Linked DNA regions of Arabidopsis thaliana. The protein of the gene in region 3 interacts with the protein of the main gene of each other region in a pairwise test. Each region holds a gene or a part of one and is shown on either strand. Other genes may lie near its edges. The genes, in order: CBL5, AHG1, CIPK1 and ECT2.

Region 1 (3,625 bases), on a different chromosome or scaffold from region 3:
AAACGAGTGACTAAAATGATCGTGACTCCACAAGTCATCGCGTCAAATGTAAAATTTTCATGTGAAACAGTGAAAGCGTCAAATCTAAATAATATTGTGGATGATTGTTGTGAATTTGATTAGTTGACCTGATTCAAAAATTTGATTGGTATATCATGTCAATTTTTTCTCTTTGGTTTTGGCAACTTATATCATGTCCAATTTCTTTTTGTGTTACCATTTTTCTCGAATTTTCACACGTTTGTTCTTTTTCTTTTTCCTCTTTTCCTTTTCCAAAACCCCATTTTGTCTTCACGAACCGATCTTTGCTTTTAAGTTTTCATATCACAGCTTTAGCTTTGTGGTTAAAAACAATTACTTTCTATCCTCGTTAAATATTAAAGATTTCTTTCGATAGTTAATATGTTTATATAATAATTAACCTTCTATATTTCTTATAACAAATTACCTATGTGATTTTCGGATAAAAATATTTTTAAACAAAAACCTCTAGCAAACACCTCATCTGATTTTACCGGAGAAAGGTTGGGAAAATCCTCGGAATGTCCCTGTACAATAAAAGTTAATTTTAGAATAATTATCTCGATTTATAAAACAAGAAAAATAAAATAAAAGAAGATAATAGTAATATATGCATAAACACACATATATAAAAGCTGTTTTTGAAAGATGTATATATATTACTTTTTTTGTAAAACGAAAGATGTATCTAAAACATGCAATTTATCAGCGAATATTAAGAAAATGGTTAGGAAAAACAAACAAACGAATTACTTCAAGAAAGGGATAGTCATGTTCTTTAGTGTCAAAGGATAGGTGGCAACAAAATTCTCCCATTCTTCCAAATCTATTATCCCATCTTTTTTCCAATCGGCCTCTTCAAATGTCTTTGCCAAATATAAGTAAACAAAAATAGTAAGTAAAATCACTATAATGTTAAATCAAGCTCATAAACTTAAGCGTTATACACACCTTAGACACGATAGAATCAATGATACTCTCGGATAGCATAAGTTCTGATTCCTCTAGAACGTCTATTATCATCTCTTTCACCTATAGATTTCTCCAAGTCGAGGAAAACCGTCAAATATAATTAATCATGACTTTTTCTTTTTTTTGAGACAAAGTTTACATACGTACCTCCTCCGGTTCAATGAATCCAGTCTCACGAGTATCGTATAATCTAAATGCAACTGTTTAATTTTAAACAAGTGATCAGATGTATTTGTGGTTATAGTTAATAACATTGATCTCTAGCTATATAGAAAATAATAATAACATGGAATAAATGAATAAACACATTAGAAGTGATGAAGCATACATATGGCCTTATCTCTTGGTGATGAGTTTGGGTGAAAAATGTTGAGTGTGTGTACAAACTCTCCAAAATCTATAGCCCCATCGTTTCTCATATCGAATAATCCAAAAATCTGCATATTTCAGAGAAACAACATCAATCGAAGTTTATTTATTTATTTCGCTTAATATAACAAATTCAATTACCCGTTCTGCAGAAAGACTGCGCTTTTTGGTATTCTTGATCAAGATAAATTGAAATTTTTCCTGGAAAAGCCAACCAAATTTGACATGACAAAAGCACAACTTTTCTATAACTAGCTAGTATAAAATTTAGATGTTATATTATTCACATTTTGTTGACCAAAAAAAAATTATTCACATTGTGGAAGAAAAATTAGTTTGGACTCTAACTTTGGTCAAAAGATTGTCGTTGCTAAGACAAGAAGTGAGTTTGATGAACAATCCATGCAAAACTTCAACCTCAGCCTCGCTAACTGCAAACCCAAAACAATTTAGATGTTATCTGATCTACAAGCTCGTGTAATAATATTCTTTCTCCATGCAATATAATATATAGGAGGAGGAAGTGGTGGATGATTGAAGTAGACGTAACTTACAAAAGGTTTGAGAAGCAAGAAGCGAAATGTCTTCTTGCCTTCTTCCTTCTAATTGCTTGCTGCAAACACATCCCATTTTACTATATCAATATATATTTCAAATTCCACATACATTTAAGTGTGTCTATATATATAGGCATCAACGTAGGTGCAAGAAATTGTGGAATATAAATCTATTTCTAACCGAACAAATTCGAAAGTGGAAGGGTTTGTACATTGCCGGCTTAGGAAGCTGGAGACAAATGGTATAATTTATATCGGAATTTGATACTAGTTCTTTTTCTATGAAACTTCATTTTCTTTCCTGAGTTCTTTAAACATATTCTTTTTCTATGGTTTATATTTTCTTGTTGATTCAAATTTTTTTCTTGTTACTTGATACTCAAAGCGGGATGTCCATGTCCATTAGCTCAGTCCAATAATATCCATTTCGATATTGGACAAATAGTGTCTATGTCCACTAAGGTCCATGTCCATTAACGTTCATGCTCATTAAAGCTCATGTCCAACTGGGCTGTCCAATGAGCATAACATAACCAAATTTTAACACAATAGTATTTGCTTCATATTTCAACCAAATTATCAAATCCAAAAGCAAATTTAAACAACAAAGTATTAAATAATTTAAGTATTAAATCCAAAAGCAAATTTAAACACAATTCAAGTATTTAACAAAGTATCAAATCCAAAAACAAATTAAAAGCAAATTTAAACTTCTTCTTCTTCTCTCTCGCCATCTTTGTCTTTATTAAGGAACTCAATATTATCACCTAAGTACTACAGAAAAGAAGAACTCAATATGCATTAAGATTCAAATTGATTGAAATATGACAAAAGAAAAGAAGTCAAAAGCTTACCAATCTCTTCAAAGTTGCATAGCCAATTCCTCGCACATATCAAAGCTTGAACTGTAGAAGGAAGAAGACAACTCCGATACTTGTTTAAAACCCGACTTCCTATGCTGAATGAAGACTCTGAAGCTACAGTTGTAATGGATGAAACACGCCCACGGGCCGCCCGTCCATTTTGAGAGCTCTATTGTTTTATAAAAATGGATGAAACTTTAGTAGTATAATAGTATCTCTCAATGTTATTGACTAACCCAATAAATTTATATACAAAGATATAACAATAAATATTTACTTTCTTTTCAATCGATCTCGTTAACTCTATGATATCCTAAAATTATTTCAGTTATTGACCAATCATATAGAACCAGAACCAAAAAAAGTTGATTACTGGTATTATATTCTTTTACAAAAAAAAAACGTTACGATAGCAAACAAATGTTATATGATAATTCAGATTGTATCTCAGTCTACAAGTATTTTGTAGCGAGAATGCAAAATCTGAATTCTGTTTTAAAAGTGAAATTCTTAAGGAACTTTTTTAGGAAGAACACATCAAATCACCAACTAACGATGTGAGCATGCCAATTATCACGACTGTGCATTCAGGATCTTGATTGATTAACGTTTCTTGCCTTTATTTTTAACAAGTTTCCCTTGCAGACCTTGTTAAATGTTTTGTATTCATATTTTCTTTTATTCTCGAAAGCATTAATCACATACATATACCACAAAGAAAAGCTACATGAAAAGTAACTAAAATTGAATTCAAGATACTTAGGGAAATGTTTGTGTTAGGGATTAAGCGAAAATGTGTTTATTCGTCTAGTCATTCTAATTTTTGTACTTGCACCGTGTATA
Region 2 (4,413 bases), on a different chromosome or scaffold from region 3:
TTTTATTTAGGACCAAAACTCTGTATTCGTCAAACCTGTTCGAATTGTTCCATTTCCATCGAACTATAAGAGTTGTCTTTTTGTCTCTCTTTCTTGAATTGTTCTCTTTGATTCTTTTGCACATCTCTTTTTTTTTTCCTTTAAAGCCTAAAGAGTAAAGACAATCTGGTAATTGGCCCAAAAGCCTATATAGCATTGTTGAACCAAATATAAAACTGCACGGTTGAGTAGGGTTAGGGCTGGTTCAAAATCTCAGCCTTAAATTCACTTCATTCAGGTTGTACCAAAATGTAAGTATTTGTAGACAGAGATGACTTTAACCATTGGAAATGATCAGTCCATCAAAAAAATATAAAAGACCAAGACCGGCGTCTAATGAACTACAACGAACAAAACCAAAGCAGTACTACGTTTTTATTTTATCTATTTATTTCACACATACCACCTAAATAGCTAAACGATCAATAACTTCAAAATGATCACACACATACAACAAACAAAATTAGAGAACAAATTCTCTCAAGTTAACTTTTATTTTATTGTTTAAACCACTAAATACCCTTAATAGCCCATGGCCAAACCACTAAATAACCTTGTAGCCCATATCCAAACAACTCTCTTTTCCTTTCACATTCGCCGGTGTTAATGTGTATTGGTAACCCCAATTCATAACAAAACAAAGACGGGCGCTAAACCCTAAAACTAATTAAGGCTCATCGCTATATCAACATCTTATTCTTTGGTTTAACCACTTAATTGCACAACCACCAAAAAAAGGATCCAAAACTAGTTTTACTGAGAGCTATTCTTGAGATCAATGACGACCACACTTATATTATCACTGCTTTGTCTACCCAAAGCCAACCGCGTTAGCAACGTTGCAGCCAATACACTCCTTGAAGGATTTTGTTCTCCGTCATTGTCGTCTTCTTGAGCCATTCTATTTAAATCAAGGCTCGAGGGAGTTTCTTCGCGGAGACAAAACCTAGCTATGTCACAAGCTAGCTGACTCGAGAGTACATCCCAAAGCCCATCGCTTGCTAATACTAAGCATTCATCTCCAGATTCCCTTCTCATGAATGTTACTTCTGGTTCCCATGCTACCATTGGTTTTAGATACCTGTCCCCTGCTCCATGAATTGTAACACAACATTAGGAACAATTTCCATACTAAAACTTCATGTTTAGTCTAATAAATTGTATAACCGAAATAAATTTTAAGTTGGTTAAATGATCAAACAATGAAAGATACAAAGATAAGACACATTTAAATACTTTTGAAGTTAAGAAAAATACTTCTCCCGTTCTAATCCATGAGATGGTTTGTATGAATGCCCACATTTTTTATTTTCGTAAAATGATTCAATTATTTTTGTTTTCTAGTTAATGCTGCAAATATAATTTTTTTTGTTTTTTTTTTTTTTTGTCAAATGTTAAACTATTAGGACCAATGTAAAATTTCTAGTTAACATTTTGACAAAAAAAAGAGAGTAAAATTTACATATTTTTTTTTTAAAGGAACAATTATAAAACATCTTTGAAAATAGAATTAGAATTAATCAACAAAAGAACTCGCACCAAATGAAACCAATCCATAGTACCTTAGTTAGTAAACTTAAAACCCTAAACCCCAAATCCGAAATGATTATTATTGCCCTTATAGGCTCTAGTTCCTTGCCATCTTCAACACTATCAACTAAAATCATCTTTTACTACAATATGAGAATTGAGAAAGGTATACCTATGGCTCTGGACGTGGCTAGAATTCCTTCAACTCTAGCTCCATCCACTACTAAAACTCGACCACCAGCTGCTTCAATCCTCGCACGCTCGTCTGGTCTATCCGGCTGCAAAAAACTCAACAACTTCAAAATAGAAACTCCAATATTCTCAAACCTTTACAAGAACACCACCTTGTGATCGTTACTCAGAGGAATAGCCATTCCATTTCGACACAACACCGCACGTGAGTCACCAGTATTGGCTACAATAATATGATCGTGCGTCAAAACCGCAGTGACCGCCGTTGAACCCGAAATCGCAGCCTCCCTCGGATCACAGTTACACAACGGCACACTAGTCCCACACACGCATGTACTCGTTGCCATCTCATCCATCCTCTTGAAACTCCGTTTCATCACGCCCCGCCATTTCCTCTCCACGACATCGTTTTCGCTTCCTTCTTCCTCCTCTTCGAGGTTTTGCTCTAGCTCCTCCTTGACAAACGTGTGCATAGTCGTGCTGCACAATGTTGACACCTGTCCACGCATCACATCAGCATCTTTATATTAAATGACCAAACCACCCCTGGTTAATTTTCTTACCTGAGAACCGCCGTGGCCATCGTATACCGCAAAGAAATGAACCGGTCTTTGCCGGTTAACTTCCGGTTTGCACAAATTCGGTTTAACAGTAACCGAATCCTCCATCTTACGAGATCTTCCCATAACCGAAACTATACCGTACAACGGCTCATCCTCCGTTTCTTCTCCCTTCCACACCGGCGCTTCCGATTTTTGGCAAGAAGATGCCGCCGGAGGTGCCAAAAAGCCCCCGATATCCGCCGGAAGACCACCGATCTCTGACCTCCGAGCTTGTTTCCTCAATGGAACGTCAAAACTTGAGTAAACTTCCATGTCCGTCCGATCACGATTCCTAGACGAACTAGGTTCGCCGAAAACCGCCGCTTGTCTCCGCATCTCAATTCTCCGACGACGACGTTCACGGCATTTAGTCGGAGAAACGTCGTCTCCACGTCCGGTTGAAATTGTTCTGTAGATTTCAGTCATCTTTTCAAAATTCGTTTCGGTGGATCAAGAGAGCACCGCTTTATATACATGGGGCCGAGAGAAAGAGAGAACACTTTGAACATAAAGAAGCTTACGAGGAAGACAGAACACGTGTCGGTGTTTCGATGTATTCGCGTGTTAGGCTCAGGTGTTAAGTTGTTGTCCACGTGGAGACGCCTTCGGTTTTTGTTAAACCGCATCCGGTTTTGGGTTCATGACGATAGTCGTTTAGCTAGGCTCTTGTGTCTTAACTCCTTTCTTCTTCTCCTTGCTTGAATTTGAACCCATGAGCCGGAGCTGATCTCTCAAACCATGTGAACTACAAGGATCAGGCTGGTTCTGGACTAATTCATCAAATATTATAGAAAATGAAAAACTCATGATATACGAAATATTGCATCTTGTTTCCTTTTGCTTTCAATATGAAAACATTAATGTCAAAACAATGACTATAAATGTAACAATATTGAAAAGGTTTATATCAATTTTCTTATTTTTAAAAAGAATTAAATTTTGAAAACCATCTTTTTGAAAAGTGAAAACAAACAATTTCTACTATATTAAATCTGGAATAACATTTACTGATCGTTCCAAATCTCGAGTAGTATTTTCTATAAAACCTGAACGGTAAGTATACTTAAACCAAATCATGGGATTAACCATAACGTTGGAGATATCTTCGGAGAAAAAGGTTGACGAATCGTCAATCGTCACTAGTCACTCTTTTTCGGTGCAACACATGTCACATAGTGATCATCTACAACTTCTCGATTCCTCAGGTTGAGCGACTTGTACCAATTAAACACGTAGCATAGTTATGCCAGTTTAGTCCATCAGTGCCATATGCCTTTTATTCTTTATTTGGTTTCCTACAAATGAAGAAAAACGGCGATATATGTATATTTTATGCTAACAGATTTGATTTGTAATTAATGTCTACTCAAATAAGCAACTGTACAAGATACAAAGAATCATATCATTATTTATTCAAATACTCAAGATCTACGAAAACCGTAATAAATGTTTACAAACTGTCTTTGAAATATATTAAAGTGGGTGAACTGAAATATGTGGATCGATCAATCCTAATATTTTGCTATATTGATGAGAATTAATACGAGTCGAATAGATCATAACAGTTAGGGTGGTTCTCTCTACATGAATGATATGGTTTAGCTAAAAACTAAAACAAACAAAATATTAAGCTAATATAAATGTGTAAGTTATCTAAAAGGAAGATAATAATGAAAAAGCTTGTCTAAAATTCTTAAAAAATGATTCAAACACACTTTACCTTAAATTTGTGATTAGTTGGGACTGGGATATAGTTTTAATCATTGGTGGGTTGGGTGGTTAGTTTTAGGTTTTAATGATTGAAAACTTAACTTGCCGATATAGTGATTTTGTTTTTTTTTTTATGTGAAGAAAATAAAAACTAGTGAGCTTAATTTCAATCCCTGGCTGTTTTAGTAGGTTATTATATATAAACCATATATGATAGAAATGTTATCTTCGTACATCAATGTTTGTTTAAATTGTTTATTCAGTTTTTTATGATCTTCTTGCGGAAATTTGGTTTAATAATTTTGCGTGTGGTTAGAATTACTATATGAAGGGAAGTTGC
Region 3 (6,370 bases):
TGGAGCAAATTCTTTACGGTAGATGTAGACATTGGTGGTCGTGCTATGTTATCGTATGACAGTTTCTTCATCGACAAGGAGAAAGGAATGGCCTTGCTATGTGGGTTGTGAGACAAGTAACAGACTTGCGAGCAAGAACCTTGTATACATTGTTGGGGAGGACCGTGAATACACAGAAATCCATTTTGGCGAATGGCCTAAGTTCATTCCTTTTATGAACTCATGTGAGCCGTTTTATTTTCAATTATGTTCCAAGTTTGGTTCAGTATTAGTCGATACAGGTAAGGACGTAATTTCTTCAATCTCCTTTTTTTGTTTATTCGTTTTTGCGTTTTTGTAGTAAAATCGTTTGATTAATCTATGACTAGATATATTATTTTGATTCCTGGCTTATTTGCACTACATTCAAGTTCCAACTAAAACAAGAACAAGTTGTGAATTTGACTAACTTTAAAACTACAATTGTTACATTCCAGGACGCTAAATGTTGATAGGTCACATGACTCATGACTCTTGAGAGTATTTTATGAGACGAAAGCAACATAGCATAATACTAAAAATTTATATACGTAGATCGGTTGGTGCGGAATTGAATGATGTACAGATACAAACTAAACACATGTATATTATTTACAAAAATAATGAAGAGATTTTTTATGGGATCTTTTTTGCTAGTAGGCAGATTTGCCACACCAAATAATAATAAAAACAAATACAAAGGTAGTGAATAAAATCTCTAATTCTTGAGGAAAGATCTACGCCACGGTTTATACTTAAATGCAATTACTATTTGCACTAATCATATAAATCGAGCTCCTTTTATATATACTTAAGATAATAAATTATATGAACATGGATGGTGTGTTCCATATGATAAATTATTAGAGCTATGTATATCTCTTCAGCCGAAAACACCAACACCTAAGTTACTATCTCTTGCTCCGGCGAGGATGTGCCCACGTCTTTTAATAGTCTCTCGTACAACTGCACCAACCCCAATATCAAACATAAACATTTTTATCTTTGATATGTGTTTCTTCAGTCTAATTAAGAAATGACAATAGTGGCATACCTGTCTATATAAACATGAATCGCCATAAGATTTTCTTAGCTCAACCACGTTCAGTGACGGCTTTATCTCGAAAACCTGATATCATAAGAATTTCTTCTATTAGTCAAATAATCTCACTAAATAGTCTATTGAACAGTGAAATAATGTTTACGTAATAGTTAATATACCTCAGCTGTTACTGATAAACCAACTTGACCTTTCTGGTTTCTTTCTTCTTGTTTTACTCTTAACTGAAACAAAATACAGTTTAAAGTTTATAAACCTACAGATTTGAAATTCCAAGTTGCTAAGGAAGAGGAAGACCATGTTGTGAAGACCCACCTTGGCATGTTTCTTTTGTACACTGAATCCCATTTCTGTAACGGCTGTTTCGATTTTCTCCAGTAAATCTTTTGCTGAGCTATTTGAAGTGAATCTTATTCTCCTCTCTGATACATTCTGAGAAAGTAAAAGTATAACTCCTTTTTATTATACATTGGCTCAAGCAGAGAGCAGATCTTTGAAACAGAGTATTAGAAGATTAGTTACCTCTTGTTCAAAGAAACCGGACAGGTCAAGAAAGGAAGACATTCCGATTAACTGAAACGCATTGATGATGGTCGGTGAATCACTGCCCTTCCCTTCTTCTGATCCCTAGACCATTCAAAAGAGAGACAGAGAAATGAGGACATTGTACTTGACTCAAATGCAGTTGCGATAGAGAGTAAGGGTGGCAGATTCTTACGAGTTCTTGGATTGAGAAAGCATCATCGTCTGTGTCAACTTCTTCTTCGTCATCATCATCGGGAATTGAAGGAATGTACTCAAGTTTGAACCACTCGCTGGCTTTAATACCCACAACTGTGATCCTCGTGACTGGATTTGGATCAAGCATTCTCTTAATCATGGTTCTTGCACCCGGGGATAACCATCTTGGTATTGGTGGGTCTCCTTTACATATCTAGAAATCAAATCAATTATCAAGCTTATTTCTTCAAAATGTGTATTGAATTGGCATATATATAAGAAAAAATGAGGTTTACCTTCTGGTAAAGAACTGCAAGGTTTCTGTCGTCGAAAGGAAGACATCCGGTTAGAATCACATACAAGATTACACCACAGGACCATATGTCTGATGCTGCACCATCGTAGCCTCTGTTAGCTAAAACCTCAGGCGCAACGTAATTAGGACTTCCACAGGTTGTATGCAACAATCCGTCATCCTAAAATGCCAAAGAGAAAATTAGTTGTAACTCGAACGGATTCAACAATTATAATTCTGCTGTGATATGCTATGGTTTTAAGATGATATTTTCAAGTACCCTAAAATGCTGAGGCAGAGCACTGAGGCCAAAATCAGTGATCTTTATATGTCCCTTTGCATCAAGAAGAACATTCTCTAGCTGCAATATAGAAAAACATCAGTACACTATTCCATAAGGTTTCCATGGTTTGAAACACAGTGAGAGAATCACAGACCTTGAGATCCCTGTGGAAAACACCTTTGCTATGACAGTAGCTGATTCCATCGATAAGCTGCTGAAACATTTTTCTTCCATCAGTTTCTGTTAATTTTCCGTTGGAAACCTGAGAGTTATCATCAAAGTGTGAGTTTAGCAAAAATGACACTCGTCAAAAAAAGAAAAAAAATCTTTTTTGCTTTGAGCATAGAGGCTAGTAAGAGTCTTACAATTCTGTCGAACAATTCTCCTCCGGTAACAAGTTCCATTACCATATTAATTTTCGTTTTGCTAGCCAAGACCTGCATGATTACCATAAGGAAGAGGCCATTAGTTTCAAGGTAAAGGAACAGTGAGTTCTGAGGTAAGATGTTTCATGTTTGAGAATCCAAAAGATTAGTCACAAGAAAGAAAAAGAAACATTTAGAATTCGAATTGCATTCATATCCACAGATTACATAAAAAACACTTAGTTGTCCAAGACACGACAAAGTTAGTCACGAGCTTAAAAAGTGGACCACGTGTATCAAATAAGTGAAGATCCACAATGGTTGCTTAACCAAAAGTCACGATTAATCTCGTGTTAAATGGCAAAGAGGAAGAAGCAATCGAAATAATTAGAAGTCAACAATAAAACGCAAAGATACAGCAAGCAATGACCCATACAATAATCATCTGAAATAATACTATATGAATAAAATAAAATAAAAAGTAAAACTAAGCATAAGATCAAAGAGGGTCCACATGATAAAAAGCTTAAAAGGGTACTAAGATTAAGCAATTATATGATGATCAAGCGACATATCCTGCATTTTTCACGATAATTTTTTTTAGGACCCCACCTTTGAATTGAACAGGTCAGATTTGTGTTACCGGCCAAGCCACCATATCAAATAATGGAATAATTAACTTAATAATTATGTAAAATGATGCGGCTAATTGGCAACGTGAAAAACAAGCTAAATGAAACATGTTTGGGTACGAAACCAAATGACTTGTAAGAATATTCCTAAACAGTAAAAAAAAAGATCCAAAAAGCAAACAACAATTATCCAAGATTTGAGGTGTTTTTAATCCTCGTCAGCTCCATTTTGATAGATAAAGAAACAACAATGAAGAAATTAACTAAAAATAGTTTACTAAACCTAATCTAACAATCTAAAATGACGAATCAAAATTTGAATAACCATCCATAAGCAGGCAATAATTCGATCACTTTCTGTCATACTCAGGTATATACTAAATAAACAGAAACAAGCAAACAGAAGAATAATCAAAAATTGTTATACTAATTAAGCAATAAACCTTTTTACTTCCTAATCACAGAATCATTTCGATAATCCAAAGATGATTATACACAAAAATTTAAGATACGGACCTCATGTAATCTAACAATGTGGGGATGTTTCAACATTTTCAGAGTCCGGATCTCTCTTTTTATCTGCACAGATTCATAAGAATTGGATCTGTCAAATTACAAATTTAGTAAAAGAAGAGAAAAGAAAAAAATTAGAAATGATGATAGAGAGATGGGAACCTGTAAGGAGAAGTTGAGATCGGCGATACGAGACTTGTCGATGATTTTAACGGCGAAGGAATGACCGGAGACGGTATCTTTAGCGAATTTAACTTTACCGAAATTACCCTCGCCGAGCGTCCTCCCTAGCTCGTATTTCCCCAGACGCATTCCCTTCTCCGCCTTCTTCTCCTCCTCTTGCCTTCTCACCATCCAATCAATCTCCTATTTCAATTTATTTCCCAACAAATTAACAGACAACCAAATCGATTTCTCGCTTGAATCTTCCGATTAGATTACTATTAATTCCGTTATTGAAAGAGGGGAAGTAGATTATTGTAGCTGTGCAGGTATGTGTGTGAGGGAAGGAGATATATATATATATATATATATAGGTGTAGGTAAAGAGACGAGGAAGATTGGGAAGAAGAAGAAGAAGAGAAGAAAGTGCCGGTTGAAATTGAAGAGAGGACGCTACTTCTCTTTGTTTCCTCTTCTCTTCTTATTATATTCACTTCTTTTTATATATATATTCCTCGTTAACTATTTTTTTTTGGTTTTTGTTAGCCAGATTTTTATTGGATAACTAGAAACATATTAATCTTCACAAAAGAAAAAGATTAATCTAACAAACCATATAAGATTTGATATTATCGAAATAAGATTTTTTTAGTAGGGTACTTATCGAGATTTATTATTATTGGTCAAATAAAACTCCTATCAAATGAAATTATGTCTATGTTCATTATAAGGAGAAATTTAAAAAGGATCTTATTTCTGTCAACAATCAAAATATGGAAAATATACGCAAAGAGTATATTGATTTATCAGAATAATTCTATATATGATGTATATTGCGAATATGTGTGTATTTTATGTGTGTACTTGTATGCATCAATAGGCCCACGTCATTTGTTGCATTAGTTTTATGTTGAAATTAAATAATAATAGATGAAAAAATATATTCATAAGAACTTTTGGTTTAAAGTCAGAAAGAAACGCTACAAAAAGATTGGTGCTTGCAGTTTTATAGTTCTTGTTACTGGAGCAGTTTTGATTTGGCTTTCGGATTTTAGTTCTTAAATGTAGAAACAAACTTGTATACACATAAAAGTTCACAAGGAATCACATACTTTCCAAGTTTTCATGTTGGAGTTACTTAAAAGTTGAAGTCCAACTATGATTTCTTAAAGTTACAGTTTAGTTTTGTACCTTTGTTATAAAAGAGGAGATCAAAAGAGACCTAAACTTAAGATCAAGTTATATATACACACTACAACAAATTAAACAACGCGTTCATAACCCATTCGTTTCTATGGAAATTTTGAACTTATGACTTGGTTTCATAGACAGTAGGTCTTCATTGTCGTGGCATTTTCAGTTTAAGAGATAATTTGGTAATAAACCATTTATATACGTCGATATCGTGCATGAATTGATAATTAGATTTAAAACACTTTTTTACGATAGTGCTTTCGGTTTGGGGGGAAATAAACATGGTGCTTTCAGTTTTATATTGTTTCTGTCTTTGTAGACTAATAATATTAGTTGTAGACTTTTACAAATTTTTAATTCGCAATATAGGCAAGCGTTTAGAAACACAATCGTTAATGATACACTTAAAGTTAATATTTTTTAAAAAAAACTATGGTAATTTATACTATATTTCATGTCTCGTCCTTTGTCGGCTCACAATTAATTAAATCACATGGAACCATTCAATTTATATTTGTTTTTCTTATGCGGTTTGTGTATTTAATTAAAATAAATAAATTGTTTTTGAGAATCCAAAAGTTTCAATAAACCAGGGCCTGGGCACCAGGCTAATCTCTTGAATTTGGAAAACTCCATATTATATCTTTTTATTGGATACATAGATTATTGAAGAATGTAGTGGTTCTTAGCTCTCGTCAGTCGTCCCAACATATTTTTGGTAATGAAAAGGTCATATGTCACATGTTTCTCTACACATCTTTTTCCCAAGGTTTTTATTAAAATTTGTAGTTAGTAAATGATGTGGCTGAAATGAATAGATACTATATAGAAAAGGAGAAAAAACCAATAATTAAAATTATTCGAGTCTCTCAAACGTGTCAAAATGGCCGGTGATAGTATTGCTGCCGGCAGTGAGTAACATATTGATTGATCTATGTTATCAGAACCTCTCTCTCTCTCTCTTTTGTGTGTAGATGACTAGGTGTGTTATATATATAAATTTAAATAAATAAAAGAGTAACTCGTTCGTGGTTATATAAACTTTCTCAAGCAAATATTTTATACCACAATTTTCTCTTGTTATATTCTTTTGCTCGTGCTCTTTTAATGTTAAACTAAAGAGATATT
Region 4 (6,287 bases), 1.6 Mb from region 3:
TAAAACCTTGTGCAAGAACAACAGATGTTGTTGTACCGTCACCAGCCAAGTCATTGGTCTTTGCAGCTGCTTGCCTTACAAGCTTTGCACCAATGTTCTCAACCGGGTCCTCCAACTCGACCTAAGCAGAAGAAAACCTTAAGCTTAGAGAAGTAATTAAAAACGAAAGGAACATAATTGGTTAAACAGACAATAAATTTCATACCTCCCTCGCAACAGTGACACCATCATTAACAATTCTTGGGGATCCATACTTGCTCTCAAGAACAACATTTCTCCCTTTTGGTCCAAGTGTGACACCAACAAGGTCCGCGAGCTTGTTAACACCAGTCTAATAACAAACGAGTAATCAGAAACCAAAAATAAAACGAATCCTAATCATTACTCCAGAAAATCAATTCATTAATTCTCACCTGAAGTTTCCTTATGGTAGTCCCATCCTTATTGAAATGCAACTCCTTGGCTGCACATACTATGGCAGGACGGGATCTTCTGACGCACACGTTATGTCTCCTTCCAAACGAGCTTGAAGAGATGCTAGTCGCAGAAGACAACTTGATAGCATTGGGAGCAAGCAACGAACCAAGGGAAGACGTGGCAGTGAATGTCGATGCCATTTTCACTTCTCAAACACTGAAAATCAATCCAACAGTTCACATAAAACGAAAGATTCACCAAAAGTACTAACCAATTAAAACTGGCAACAAAAAACAAAAAACAGATGAATTTCAAAATCAGAGCTCAATCCCCAAATACTCAAAACCACAACTACACCAATAGCCACAAATCTCCGGGAACACGAAAACAAGGTAACATACTTTTTCTCAGCTACTAGTAATACTTGTTAATTCCAATTCTAACAAAACAATCAATCGACACACACAATTACATAGGCGCCAACATTGTGAGCTCAATTGATGGGAAAAGTGACACTCACCGGACGGTGGAACGACGGAGGTGAGGAGAGAGATGGCGCCGAAGAGGTTTATTCCGGATAAGGAGGAAGAAGTAGGTTTCTCCAATGACGAAATGAAGAATGCACTTGCTACTGATAATTTTTTCTTTGAATATAAAGGCGATATGAGCCTTTAGCTCTTGAAACTTCGAGCTAATCTTAGCCGTTGGATGTACTCTTCATTGTTTTCTCATTAGAACTCTCTAGAACGTCGGATGGGTAATCGGATCATGGGTTTATTTCCGGTGGCCTTGTTTGGTGATTTGGGCCTGTTTATGAATCTTTAATCAAATAGGCCCATTACATACTCTCGATCTTAAAATGTTTTTATTTAATAATAGCTTTTTTAAGCTAAGGTAATTTACTTCCTTTTATCCTAAAGGTAAAGTATATTTTCTTGAATAGCTAGTTTTGGTAAGTTTCTCTGAAAAATAGATTTTACTTTCTTTGGTTTTATCTTAATGATTTGCTTTTAGTTTTTAAATAGTTGCTCAAAACAAAAAAGTTTAATATATATTTTTAAAGATATTTCAATGTATATTGGGGTAAATTTATAGAAGAAACACACCTATAATAGAAAGCATGCCCTCTTTTGCTTTTAAATTTGACCAAATTTACTTTTGAATTATATTTTGGTAACAGAATTGAGATTTATATCTATTTTATTACAAGATTACCAATTTTAAGAAAATGGAAAAGTATATTATCCAGATTTTGCAGGAAAAATAACCAAAACCACACGGTCTATAGTCTTCTTTTAAAACAAAAGAGGAAATATCTTAAGGTGGAAGAAAAAAAAAAAAAAAGAAAGAAAAAAAAAAGAGAGAAGGTGAGGTGGTTGATTAGTGGATCTATTTGAATCAGAGGGAGAGGTAGAGAGACAAAACCCTTTTTTTCCTCTTCCCCGAAGCAAAACCCTTCTCCTTCTTGGCGGCTGCGGCCATTTTTTTCTTCTTTCTCTCTTCTATTCTATCTCTTAAACCCTAGATTTGATCTGGGTTTTTCCTGATTCCATTTAGGGTTTCTCTATCTTCTTTTTTTTCTTCTTCTTCTTCTTTCTCTTTGGTCGCATCCCCTTTTATCCGAGAAGGATCTATCCAAATCTTTGTTTGTCGAATCTCCTCTCATGGCTACCGTTGCTCCTCCTGCTGATCGTATCCTTTCTTTATGTTTCTCGATCTGTGTTTTGATTTCTCGATCTTGAATCTGTTGGATCTTGAATCCAGTGAGCTGATTTTGAGTCTTGTTCAGATATATTTGATATTGCCTAGATTCAGTTTCGGGTTTCTCAATATATTTCTCGATTGTTAGGTTTCTATATTGATTCAAATCGATTCATTTGTGGCGAGTTTGATTGATTTGAGAATGTTTGCTTTCCACTATTCTAATGGTTAATTGTGTAATTCTTTGCTTCCTTGACTCACCTTGTTTGTAGAAGCTACAGATCTGTTGCAGAAACTATCCTTGGACTCGCCAGCAAAAGCTTCAGAGATCCCTGAGCCTAACAAGAAGGTGATTTGCAGATTGAATTTTGGTTTTCTGTTGTCACAACTTTTGCTTCTTCCAGTTTTTTTTAACGCTTTTGTTTTGTGTCTTGTGTAGACTGCCGTCTACCAGTATGGAGGCGTTGATGTTCATGGTCAAGTTCCTTCTTATGATCGATCTTTGACACCAATGCTTCCCAGTGATGCTGCTGACCCTTCAGTTTGCTATGTTCCTAATCCTTACAATCCCTACCAGTATTACAATGGTAGCTTCATCCTCAAATCATTTACAATCTAGAAACATTATTTCACTAAATTGTCACCACTGGTTTAACAAGTTTTTCGTTTTGTAACTTTTCAGTATATGGGAGTGGTCAAGAGTGGACTGACTACCCAGCTTACACAAATCCTGAGGGTGTTGACATGAATTCTGTAAGTGTGTGCTGACTAGTTATAATAGTGCCTTTCATCGTCTTTATATTTTCTTTGCTTAACAGGTTCAATATTTTACCAGGGAATTTATGGAGAGAATGGGACTGTTGTGTATCCTCAGGGTTATGGGTATGCAGCGTATCCTTACTCGCCAGCAACTAGCCCTGCTCCACAGCTTGGCGGGGAAGGGCAGTTGTACGGTGCTCAGCAGTATCAGTATCCTAACTATTTTCCAAACAGTGGACCGTATGCTTCATCTGTGGCTACACCTACCCAGCCGGATCTCTCTGCAAACAAACCTGCTGGTGTGAAGACACTACCTGCGGATAGCAATAATGTTGCTTCTGCTGCTGGTATCACAAAAGGAAGTAATGGATCAGCTCCAGTGAAACCAACTAACCAGGCTACCCTTAACACCTCAAGTAATTTGTATGGTATGGGTGCTCCAGGAGGAGGTTTGGCTGCTGGTTATCAGGACCCCAGGTATGCCTATGAAGGGTATTATGCTCCTGTGCCGTGGCACGATGGCTCTAAGTACTCTGATGTGCAGAGACCTGTTTCTGGTAGTGGAGTTGCATCCTCCTATTCTAAGTCTAGCACAGTACCTTCATCGAGGAATCAAAACTACCGCTCAAATTCTCACTACACGGTATGATGTCTTTCCAAACTTCTTTTTGCTAATGAACACCATTGTCTGCTTTACTGGCATATATATATAGCCGCTCAAGTCTTCCAAATTTGTTAACTGACCTTCAATCAACTTTTTTCTTTGCAGAGCGTGCACCAGCCTTCATCAGTGACTGGCTATGGTACAGCTCAGGGGTACTACAACAGGATGTATCAGAACAAGTTATATGGTCAGTATGGTAGCACAGGGAGATCTGCTTTGGGTTATGGTTCATCTGGGTATGATTCAAGAACAAATGGAAGAGGATGGGCGGCCACAGACAACAAATACAGAAGCTGGGGCAGGGGTAACAGTTACTATTACGGAAATGAGAACAATGTAGATGGTTTGAATGAACTTAACAGGGGACCTAGAGCTAAGGGCACAAAGAACCAGAAGGGAAATCTAGATGATAGCTTAGAGGTTAAGGAGCAGACTGGAGAATCAAATGTAACTGAGGTTGGGGAGGCGGATAACACATGTGTTGTTCCTGACAGAGAACAGTACAATAAAGAAGATTTCCCAGTGGATTATGCAAATGCCATGTTCTTTATCATCAAGTCATACAGTGAAGATGATGTGCACAAGAGCATTAAATATAATGTTTGGGCTAGCACACCAAATGGAAACAAGAAGCTTGCTGCAGCATACCAGGAAGCTCAACAGAAAGCTGGCGGCTGTCCCATCTTTCTGTTTTTCTCGGTGTGTATATAATCCTGAAATTAAAAACTGTGCTCTTTTTACTTTGTTTTATGATATTGTTCTTTATACTCCAGTTTTTGTCTTTCAGGTCAATGCAAGTGGACAATTTGTTGGTCTTGCTGAAATGACAGGACCAGTTGATTTCAACACAAATGTGGAGTACTGGCAGCAAGATAAGTGGACCGGCTCTTTCCCCCTCAAGTGGCATATTGTGAAGGATGTGCCAAACAGTTTACTGAAGCATATTACTTTAGAGAACAATGAGAACAAACCTGTTACCAACAGCAGAGACACACAAGAGGTAAATATTTGTGACATCTTTTGGCTTGTTTTACTGATTACTCCACGAGCGTTTTTGTTTTCTTGTGCCTAACTTTCTTTGTTTGGATCATATTAGGTTAAGTTGGAGCAAGGTTTGAAGATTGTGAAAATTTTCAAGGAGCATAGCAGCAAGACTTGCATTTTGGATGATTTCTCATTCTACGAGGTTCGACAGAAGACTATCTTGGAGAAGAAAGCCAAGCAAACCCAGAAACAGGTAAGAACTAGAAAACAATTTCAGAAATCTTTTTCATTCAGTATATATATAACTTGAGTGTTTCTAATGTATTAAAGCTTAACAGGTAAGCGAGGAGAAGGTAACCGATGAAAAGAAGGAATCTGCAACTGCAGAGTCAGCGAGCAAGGAATCTCCTGCAGCTGTTCAAACGTCCAGTGATGTTAAGGTTGCTGAGAATGGGTCTGTTGCTAAACCAGTCACAGGCGATGTGGTGGCAAATGGTTGCTAACTAAGAGGATGGTGTCGCTCACGGCATGGGCATAAAACTGACTAGAGATGAAGATATGAACAATCCCGTTTAACGTTTCTCTTGAGAAGAAGATTGCCGTGAGCCTTGAAGCATGGAAGGAGCTTTAGTACCTGAGACGGATCCGTTTCTTTGCCCTTAGAAGTTTAAATCCCAGTTATTTTTTTTTCAATCTTTTCTTGTTTTCATTTTTCCTTTTCTTCAAAATCGCAGTCTCGTTACAAGTTTATGTTGGGTTTCTTTTTCATTTTCTGTTGTTCCTACCCTGTAAAAATGCGCATAGGACCTACTAAATCGTGGGAAGAATTAGAGAAAAGGAGATAAAAGCAGGGTGGGATTTTGTTTTTTCATGTCTGTTGGATTTTTAGGCAGAGTTTTCTTTTCTTTTGGTTTCTTGCTTTGGTTTCAGACTTGACTCTCTTGAGTCGTTTAGAATTTGAGATGGTCTTTTGCCTCTCTCGTCTTGTTTCTGTCATTCTCCAAAGTTATCTGAATCAATCCATGTTTTAAGATTTTCAAAGCAAGGAGATAAGTATTGTTGATTTTTTTCGTGTAACAAAACAAAACGACCTTGATCTCATAATTTTGTTGCTGTCACCAATAATTGTCAAAGAAGCCGAGAGAACCTAACTTTAGTCAGCTCTCCATTTCACCATTCCAATGTATGATGTGTCGTTTTGATCTATCTTGCCGAAATTGCTGATGTGGTTAAAATCCCAATAATAAATGAAGCTGATCAAATAAGTACTTGTTGTCTGATCTGACGTGGCTAGATAGCTTCTCCAACGCTTTATCTCGGAAACTCCGTGACAAAAGATAGTACTTTCATGTCTGTTTTGGTTTCATCCAAAAGTATCAAATTTGTGTGATCTTCTCCAGAAGAAACTTGAGGAACTTTAAGCTAAACCTCTGTAGTTTTCAGATTGATTCGTTGGTGGAAAGCGTCTAAATTTTGCGTAAATGGCGGCAGCTCTTGTACGCAGATTCTGCCGGGGATCATCTTTTCCGGTCTCTGGTCATGGATATAGGATGCTATCGACGGTTGAAAATGTATCTGAAAGTGGTAAATCGATGAATCTATACTCTGCTATTAATCAAGCTCTTCACATCGCTTTAGAGACCGATCCTCGGTGAGCTTTTCTCGCATTTTTCAATCCTAAAGTCTAAGGTACATTTGAATTGGTTTTTATAATGTATTTGGAGTCACTTGAGTGAAGGTCTTATGTTTTTGGGGAAGATGT

What was found.
Region 1: the proteins of CIPK1 (region 3) and CBL5 interact in a two-hybrid assay, tested with the Arabidopsis thaliana proteins (one study listed by BioGRID).
Region 2: the proteins of CIPK1 (region 3) and AHG1 interact in a two-hybrid assay, tested with the Arabidopsis thaliana proteins (one study listed by BioGRID).
Region 4: the proteins of CIPK1 (region 3) and ECT2 interact in a two-hybrid assay, tested with the Arabidopsis thaliana proteins (one study listed by BioGRID).

The regions. Positions count from the first base shown.
Region 1 is NC_003075.7:579,527-583,151, forward strand, and holds CBL5 (calcineurin B-like protein 5), read right to left. Parts: upstream 1,996-3,625; 5' UTR 1,993-1,995; coding exon 1,917-1,992; intron 1,794-1,916; coding exon 1,711-1,793; intron 1,564-1,710; coding exon 1,504-1,563; intron 1,431-1,503; coding exon 1,322-1,430; intron 1,194-1,321; coding exon 1,141-1,193; intron 1,054-1,140; coding exon 973-1,053; intron 888-972; coding exon 775-887; coding exon of another isoform or gene 771-774; exon of another isoform or gene 549-770; coding exon 512-548; downstream 1-511. UniProt on the Arabidopsis thaliana protein: Acts as a calcium sensor. CBL proteins interact with CIPK serine-threonine protein kinases. Binding of a CBL protein to the regulatory NAF domain of a CIPK protein lead to the activation of the kinase in a calcium-dependent manner.
Region 2 is NC_003076.8:21,025,292-21,029,704, reverse strand, and holds AHG1 (Protein phosphatase 2C family protein), read right to left. Parts: upstream 2,831-4,413; 5' UTR 2,790-2,830; coding exon 2,325-2,789; intron 2,259-2,324; coding exon 1,914-2,258; intron 1,848-1,913; coding exon 1,742-1,847; intron 1,128-1,741; coding exon 793-1,127; 3' UTR 517-792; downstream 1-516. UniProt on the Arabidopsis thaliana protein: Negative regulator of abscisic acid (ABA) responses during seed germination.
Region 3 is NC_003074.8:5,988,388-5,994,757, forward strand, and holds CIPK1 (CBL-interacting protein kinase 1), read right to left. Parts: upstream 4,615-6,370; 5' UTR 4,241-4,614; coding exon 4,049-4,240; intron 3,953-4,048; coding exon 3,890-3,952; intron 3,692-3,889; exon of another isoform or gene 2,829-3,691; coding exon of another isoform or gene 2,814-2,828; coding exon 2,742-2,813; intron 2,639-2,741; coding exon 2,531-2,638; intron 2,455-2,530; coding exon 2,374-2,454; intron 2,275-2,373; coding exon 2,095-2,274; intron 2,013-2,094; coding exon 1,797-2,012; intron 1,706-1,796; coding exon 1,601-1,705; intron 1,511-1,600; coding exon 1,394-1,510; intron 1,303-1,393; coding exon 1,240-1,302; intron 1,148-1,239; coding exon 1,073-1,147; intron 985-1,072; coding exon 922-984; 3' UTR 537-921; downstream 1-536. Other genes in the region: AT3G17500 (F-box family protein), read left to right, coding at 1-111. UniProt on the Arabidopsis thaliana protein: CIPK serine-threonine protein kinases interact with CBL proteins. Binding of a CBL protein to the regulatory NAF domain of CIPK protein lead to the activation of the kinase in a calcium-dependent manner.
Region 4 is NC_003074.8:4,384,015-4,390,301, reverse strand, and holds ECT2 (evolutionarily conserved C-terminal region 2), read left to right. Parts: upstream 1-1,709; 5' UTR 1,710-2,081; coding exon 2,082-2,109; intron 2,110-2,390; coding exon 2,391-2,467; intron 2,468-2,557; coding exon 2,558-2,705; intron 2,706-2,800; coding exon 2,801-2,871; intron 2,872-2,953; coding exon 2,954-3,520; intron 3,521-3,646; coding exon 3,647-4,240; coding exon of another isoform or gene 4,241-4,242; intron 4,243-4,328; coding exon 4,329-4,541; intron 4,542-4,637; coding exon 4,638-4,778; intron 4,779-4,863; coding exon 4,864-5,028; 3' UTR 5,029-5,739; downstream 5,740-6,287. Other genes in the region: Cpn60beta2 (TCP-1/cpn60 chaperonin family protein), read right to left, coding at 1-121, 206-331, 414-617; DIN4 (Transketolase family protein), read left to right, coding at 6,007-6,176, 6,264-6,287. UniProt on the Arabidopsis thaliana protein: Specifically recognizes and binds N6-methyladenosine (m6A)-containing RNAs, and regulates mRNA stability. M6A is a modification present at internal sites of mRNAs and some non-coding RNAs and plays a role in mRNA stability and processing.